Macaca mulatta: one gene and its partner. The protein of the gene in region 2 purifies or fractionates together with the protein of the main gene of each other region. This does not show direct contact. Links are inferred from orthologs where the notes say so. Each region holds a gene or a part of one and is shown on either strand. Other genes may lie near its edges.

Region 1 (3,913 bases), about 53 Mb from region 2:
TTATTTATTGATTTATTTTTGAGACAAAGTCTCCCTCTATCGCCCAGAGTGGAGTGCAGTGGCGCGATCTCAGCTCACTGTAATCTCTGCCTCCTGGGTTCAAGCGATTGTCCTGTCTCAACCTCCCGAGTAACTAAGATGACAGGCCCACACCACCACGCCACCACACCCAGCTAATTTTAGTAGTTATAGTAGAGATGGGGTTTCACCATACTGGTCAGGCCGGTTTTGAACTCCTGACCTCAGTTGATCCACCCACCTCAGCCTCCCAAAGTGCTGGGATTATAGGCGTGAGCCACCGCGCCTAGCAAAAAATTGTTTTAAAAAGAAAAGAATGATTAGAAGCCATGATCTTGGCAGAAGTTATATTAACTTATATTGAATCTGATAGCTTCTGTACTTTTTCTCTAGCAACATGCTGTGGCCTAGAAGCAGAAGCCAAGAAAACATCTCTAATCATAGCCATCATTAGAGATAACAGAAGTGCCTGCTTAGTATAGAAAATCAAAATGAATAAAGAAAGCAAGAGGATATTATCAAAGGGGCTGGTCACAGAGGTCTAGCTGGGCAGCACCAAAGGCCATAAGGTACTGACAGATTCAATGAAATGGAAAGGTCAAGAACCAGAGAACCTGAGGACACAAAGCTGATCCTGAGGGTTTAAGATAGTGAAATAAGTGACTGATAAGGAGGCTAAAGTGATGGGGAGCACCTGAAGAAAAAGTGGTGTCCTAGATGAGATCCAGGTTGTAGTGATTCTGATGTGCAACTGGTTTGAAAATACAAAGCAAAGTCGACCGTCTCATGCTGAGGAACTATGAGATCAGAGTATTCCAATGGTGCTGGAGACACTGAAAATGACAGCAAGAAAAAGAGGAGAGAAAAAAATATGCAATAGGTCTGGGTCCTTGTGGGCAGTAAATGATGACACTAAAGTTTTACAGAAACTGCTATAATTGCATGGCAATACCTTCCATGAGGATTAGTGACAGTGGTAGATCAACGATCTGGACATAGTAAAGGAAAACAAAAAAGCAGTTTATTCCTTCTTCTCTTCCACATAGTCACTAAAAACAGAAAACAGCTTTTAGTGGCAAGGTAGGGTGAGATGTCATACCTGGATTTTCACGGAGTCAGGGTAAAGAAAATGATTAAGAGTAAAGAGAAATATACTGGATAAGTAGTATTTTCAAAGCACACATTAAAAATTGGTAATTCATGAAGGAGCTACTGGGTAGAGAACAGAAGGAAAGAGGTAGTACCACTTTTAAATTGTGAGGTTGGGGAGAAGTAGCAGCAACCTGGGTTGTCATCAGGTACCATAAGACAGGTGGAAGAGGTGTAAGGAACATGGAAAGCAGCAGAGCAAGAAGCAAAATGGCACATTTTAAAACAGACCGTGTGTACCAAGGCACAGGCACAGTGTTGCTTCTACAGACTACACATATGAGGGCTACAAAAACAGAAACACTTTGCACTTGCACAGCATTTTGTAAATTGCTTTCACATATATTATTTGATCATCATTGAGTAGCTATTACTACTACGCATATTTTTCTAAAGATGAGGTCATTAGGAAGGGACAAAACCAAGATAAAAGCTGTGATTCTCCGTTTCCAACACATACACCTCACATACACAGCAGACACTTCAGCATCTCGACCAGCCAGGCTGGAAATTCTTTAGCCAGAAGGAAGAGTGGGTTTTATTCACTTGTCAAAGGGCTTCGGAGAAAAGCCACTAGACACTTTCCTGTTTGCCTCTTCCCACCTTAGACCCCTCAATTTCTATCACCATCACAGGATAAGATAGCGAAGGGTGGCTCCATCAGGGAGAAAACTCAAGCTGAAAGTTATATTAGGGTCCTCTTCCCTTCACACCTCTAAACCTCAGTGACCCAACAGATGAAGATAAGGGAGAGGAAAAAGTACTATGTAGAAACGAGAAGGTCTTCAGCAAATACCGCTTCGAGAAAAATAATGAAAATGGGACTGAGGTAGGGCAGAAAGCAAGTATAGCTGAGATGGGGGAGGGGAAAAGTAGGAGGGCAGGAATTGGAGGGAACTGAGAGTGTAGGAGTCCCCAAGGCTGAAAAACCTATAAGAGATATGAGTGCTCCAACTGCTGGAGAAAAGCTAAGGGCCCGTGAGGGTCCTGAAGCAGGGACCAGCACTGAAGGACCCCAGGGTTTGGGTGACCGGAAGCAGAGACCCCCAAACACGAGACCAGAAGGGGGCGCAGGAGACACCCCGCAGGAGAGAATGAATGGGGAAGGCGGTCCGGGGGGCGGGGCAAAGGAGGGGCCCCGGGATGGGCGGGGCACAGACCCCTTTCCAAGTCCGAACCCCTGCCCCGAGAGCCCGGGGAGAAGCGGCTCCGCGCCTCCCGCACTCACCGCCGGTCTCGTCAGTAACATAGGGAGTCGCCATCTTGAAAACGCAAACCACTTCCGGCGTGAGCGGGCTGGGGTCCCGCCCCCCTCCCCACCGGAAGTGGAGTCCCGATCGTAGCAAGCCACCATCTTAGTCTTAAAGGGAGAGTGCACCATTTCATGGGCGGAGGTGGAGGAGGAGGAAGAGGGGAGAAGCTGAAATAGTTAATAAAATAAAGCCGTGGGCTCTTTTACTGCCACCGATACCATTATTGAGCGCTTGCTGCCTGTAAAACAGTCCTCGGGGAGCCAAGAGAAGTTCCGAGGCACAGTCCCTCTCATCCCAGGAACTCCTCGTATGTCCACGACCTGCGAGGGAAAAGGGCGTAGGGCCCACCTGCACCCAAAAAGGGGGCCTTATAAATGAAGAAAGGAAGACTATCCAGGCTTTGGCCTGCACCCAGACCTGAGAGCAGCTTGGTGACGTGGAGCAGACAAACTCCAGGAACGCACTGGGGCGCACAAGTGTTTCTGGGGACGGTTGGAAGACCCCATGTAACCCTCTCTAAGAAGGTGGGGAGGTCGAATTCGCGTGCCGATTGCTGTCGGCCGCCCCACTCAACCTCCAGAGACCCGCGGGAGGGGCGTGCAAGGCGGAGAGCGCCACGGGTCGGTCACCTGTCTCCGTAGCCGCAGGGTTGCCGGCAGCTTCCATGGCTGAAGAGGCAGCTGGCCAGGTTGGGCGGGCGGCCCTGGCCTGGCTCTGCCCCGCTGGGCGGCGCCGGAGATTCGGCGGCGAAGTGATGAGGGCCCTACTTGCTTCTCTCCCAGACCTCCTAACCCTGAGTGCCTCCTTGGATTGGGCCCTAGGGTCAGAGGGCAGGGTAAAGGCTTCTGGGCGGACCTACCTAGTATTCTAATTAAACTCGTCCAACCGCTGAGGATCTAAAGCGGGGCAGCTCGTCAATAATCCGGTCCCGCAGGGTCACTCCATTTGTAGTCCTCCCCTGCCCCGTACCTCCCTATTCAGACGAACCCAAATGCTCTTTCCTCCGCCGCCCATTTCAGCAACTGTTGTTCCTTCAGGGCTAAGTTCTGTTAAACTTGTTTCCCCTACAGCCTGGGAGGGGCCCGACTGCAGGTTCTTCTCCTCAGGTGTCAACTCTGCCCTGCTCCACCCTTATATAGCTTTTTCCTTATCAATCCTTTTACCTTCCTCCATATGTCCCCACTTTGACTTAGTTTAATATCCAGCAGTACCCCTGGAACCAGGAAGGAGGGAGGAGGTAAATATTGGTGATTACCTCTTACACTAGGCAGCATGTCCCATTTAAAAAACAAAACTAAAGCCGGGCACGGTGGCTCAGGCCTGTAATCCCAGCACTTTGGGAGGCCAAGGCGGGTGGATCACGAGGTCAGGAGTTCAAGACCAACCTGGCCAAGACGGTGAACCCCCGTCTCTACTAAAAATACAAAATATTAGCCGGGCATGGTGGCGGGCGCCTGTAATCTCAGCTACTCGGGAGGCTGAGGCAGAGAATT
Region 2 (3,913 bases):
TTTCCTTCAAATGTATGCATACAATTATATTGTAGACATTTTAGAATTATGACTAAGAAGGATACAAACGATGCTTCTGGATCGAAGTTGATGAGTTTGTTAGCTAGTTTATATTTAATTTTAATCCATCATGATTTGTGTATTATCTGATGTATGCTTCCCCTTATGGCTAGTCAGTTGCCCAGACACAGCTATAATGTGCAGCAGTTACTCTAAAATGATAGAAATGCCAGTCTTTGATGGCTTGGCACCAGGCGTAGTGGCTCACGCCTGTAATCCCAGCACTTCGGGAGGCCGAGACAGGTGGACTACCTGAGGTTAGCAGTTCGAGACCAGTCTGGCCAACATGGAGAAACCCCATCTCTACTAAAAATACGAAAAAGTAGCCGGGCATGGTGGCACATGCCTCCAATCCCAGCTTCTCGGGAGGCTGAGGCAGGAGAACCGCTTCAATCCAGGAGGCAGAGGTTGCAGTGAGCTGAGATCGCACCACTGCACTGCAGCCTGGGTGACAGAGCAACACTCTGTCTCAAAAAAAAGAAAGAAAGAAAAGAAAGAAAAAAAGAAAAGAAAAAGAAAAAGAAAGAGAAAGAAAGAAAGAAAGAAAGAAAGAAAGAAAGAAAGAAAGAAAGAAAGAAAGAAGGAAAGAAAGAAAAAGAAAGAAAGAAAGAAAGAGAAAGAAAGAGGAAGGAAGGAAGGAAGGAAGGAAGGAAGGAAGGAAGGAAGGAAGGAAGGAAGGAAGGAAGGAAGGCAGGCAGGCAGGCAGGCAGGCAGGTCTTCGGGAGACTCAATATTACCAATAGAAGAAGTATGTGTAACAGTGCAGTGGCAGATACATTGATTAGAACCACTGTTCTAGCATAAAACTTCCCTGATAATATTCAGGTGCTTAATTTATGTGACCTGCTAAAAGTAATAGAGACAAGCTTGACGGTGTTCACAGGCAGAGGAACTGAAAATAATACTACATAAAGAATAGATGAATTCAGGTAAATTTAGCTGAATTTATGGGGAGAGTAAGGTCGAATACAGTGATTAAGGTTTCTAAATAATTGCAGGGCTGGCACGGTGGCTCATGCGTGTAATCCCAGGACTTCGGGCGGCTGAGGCTGGTGAATCTCTTGACCTTAGGGGTTTGAGGACAGCCTGGGCAACATGCGGAAACCCATCTCTACAACAACAACAACAACAACAAAGGAGATGGGCGAGGTGGCACTGGCCTGTATTTCCAGCACCTCGGGAGGCTGAGGTGAAGGATCACTTGAGCTTGGGAGGCGGAGGTTGCAGTGAGCTGAGATCGTGCCACTGCACTCAGATCTGAGTGACAGAGTGAGACTCTGTTTCAAAGTAATAATTGCAGGACTGTAGTTCACGTGAGTTCTGCCTGAAATGCTTGATACTCTTCTCCTTTCCTAATATACGTTTCTCCTCTAATTTTTTATTCTTGCTCTCACAGAACATTGTCCAAAGCCTGCTTATTAATATACCTACTGCTTTATAGTTAAATGTCTGTGTCCCCACCAAGACAAATCTCTTTGAGTTAAATTTGTCTTACTCATTAGTGTACCTTCAAATTTTGTATTTGCTTGTTGCCCAGCAAAAAACGTGCATTTAAAAAAAACCAAAACATATATATCCAAATGAACTTTCTTGTTGCAGGTAGGCAGGACCAATGTAACATTCTCTAATAGCGCTGTCAGAAAACAAATTGTTGCACGCTACTGGGGTAGCAGTTTCACCTCGTCCTCTGCTCTCACTGCTCTGGAAGTCTGTTTTTTTCTCTCAAAGGCCAAGTCTCTCATTTCGAGACTCATCTCAAGAGTGTCTTCCTCTAGGAAGATTTTCCTGACTCCCTCCTGTGGAACTTTACATCTCCCCTCTTTTTTGGTACTCTTCATGCGTCCTGTGGTGAACAATTATACGTAGACACCTAAAACATATTATTATTCTCATTTGTTAACACGTCGGGCTCCTCCCCTTCAAAGAACACACACAGCCTGAATGAAGAAAAGGTACTGGTCACCACAAGATTTTATTCATCCATTGGACCACCCGCTGATGGGGGTGTTTTCAAAAAAGTGCTAGCATTTTTAATCCAGGTCAACAATCTACAGAGTCCCTTCTGGTGCAGTTACAGAATTCTGATTACTGTAAGTTCGACTTTTCAGTTTGCGACAGGATTAGCTTTAATTTATTGCAATTAGTTCTCTTTCATTTATAAAACCAACTTAGGCCTCCTCTATTCTTAAGCTCCTATTTCCTTCGAGGGAAGCAGTGGCCTCCGCCCCCTGTACCCTCCACACCACCCGGCCTCCCCTCGCCTCCTCCACGGCCTCTCGGTCTCGCTCCCCTTTCCCAGCACCGCGTGCCGTGGGCCTCTTCTCACCGTCCGGCCGAAATTCGAACTCCAGAAACTCGTGCCCAAACTTGCCCTTGTGCCCTACGTAGTAGCGCAGGTAGAAATCGCTAGCCATAGCCATTTTTGTCCCCGAGAAGCCCGCCGAAAACCCAGCCAACGTGTCCCCCGGCGCCTTGTAGTCACGTCATCGCGCGGAATAAGTGCGTCACCACAGGCGCTTCTCTTCCGCCTGCCGTGCAGTCCTGGACTAAAGCATGAAAGCCGAGTCTCGCGTGAGAGGCCAGTTGGTGCTGAAGGGAGAGTCGCATGCCGTGACTTTCTCTTTACTAGGATTGGAGGCACATTATTTTCAAAATAAAGATTACATTATATTAGCAAATATTAGAAATGTGAGCATATGATAGTATTTTTTATCGACTTAGAGCTAAATTAGGTTTGCAAGTGGCTTTTACTTTTCTGGTCTCCCAGTCCTCGGGGCGTTTGTGAGGTGGGTGTGGCTCTATTCCCCCTTTAACTGGGAGCTAAATAAAGATAAAGCTTAGAATAGAGATGGCAGACCGGGAATATAAACCATTTTTCTTACTTGATTTCTAACAGGGTGCTTTCCCCTTTGAATAACGATTGGTAGTTGCCCCGGACCTATAAGCCTATAATAATAGAGACAAAGTCAAAGGAATCCATCACAGCAAAGAACTTAAGAGATCTCATTTGATCTCTCAAGAATTCTGTGAGCTTGGCAATGTAGATTGCTGTATATGCCTTAGGCTGAAGAACAAACAGGCTTAGAGATAGTCACTAGCCCGAGGTTAGGTAGCTGTAAGTGTTGGGATTGAATCCCAGGTCTTCTCACCACCACTTTCTACTAAAAATCACTGACGGTGATTTCAGTGGGACAAAACTGGCTTAAAGTCTTAAAACACACACCCCCTACGCCTGAAAAACCCTGACTGTCACCGTGCTGTTTTTTAACAGCAGAACTTCTATGGTTCTTAATTCATTCAGTAAGGGTTAACTTTTAGTAGCCTGTGGAGTTTTGGCAATTTGACTTAAGATACAACAATGGTTTAGCCCATTACTGTTTCTCGCCAGATATAATTAAATTGGAGGAATGAAAGAATGCTCCATTGTGGCATAGTTTTTAAGGTAAGGGAAAGACTTTTACACAAAGTCTGCTTTTTAAATATTATTGATCACCCTTTTGTTATCAACACAGAGAGTAATCCTCTCTGCTGGTTGACAACCTTCAGTGATTTTTGTAGAAAGTGGTGGTGAGAAGACCTGGGATTCAATCCCAACACTTACAGCTACCTAACCTCGGGCAAGTGACTCTCTAAGCCTGTTTATTCATCAGCCTAAGGCATATACAGCAATCTACATTGCCAAGCTCACAGAATTCTTGAGAGATCAAATGAGATATGTAAAATAAGCTTTAAATTTTATAAAACGTTAGTTTTAACAAACATTTCCTATGTGACAGTTTGAAACTAGAAATAAAAAGGCATTTGCACTGGTAGTCTAGAAAAGAAAGCAAACTTGTAAGGCAAATATCGGCAC

The links.
Region 1: the proteins of MAGOHB (region 2) and PYM1 purify together in Homo sapiens (co-immunoprecipitation; 3 studies listed by BioGRID and IntAct, with this or other methods). This does not show direct contact. The link is inferred for Macaca mulatta from reciprocal best matches to the Homo sapiens genes MAGOHB and PYM1.

Annotation. Positions count from the first base shown.
Region 1 is NC_133416.1:63,070,945-63,074,857, forward strand, and holds the start of PYM1 (partner of Y14 and mago), read right to left. Parts: upstream 2,437-3,913; 5' UTR 2,430-2,436; coding exon 2,396-2,429; intron 1-2,395. UniProt on the Homo sapiens protein: Key regulator of the exon junction complex (EJC), a multiprotein complex that associates immediately upstream of the exon-exon junction on mRNAs and serves as a positional landmark for the intron exon structure of genes and directs post-transcriptional processes in the cytoplasm such as mRNA export, nonsense-mediated mRNA decay (NMD) or translation.
Region 2 is NC_133416.1:9,994,015-9,997,927, reverse strand, and holds the start of MAGOHB (protein mago nashi homolog 2), read right to left. Parts: upstream 2,531-3,913; 5' UTR 2,481-2,530; coding exon 2,387-2,480; intron 1-2,386. UniProt on the Homo sapiens protein: Required for pre-mRNA splicing as component of the spliceosome. Plays a redundant role with MAGOH in the exon junction complex and in the nonsense-mediated decay (NMD) pathway.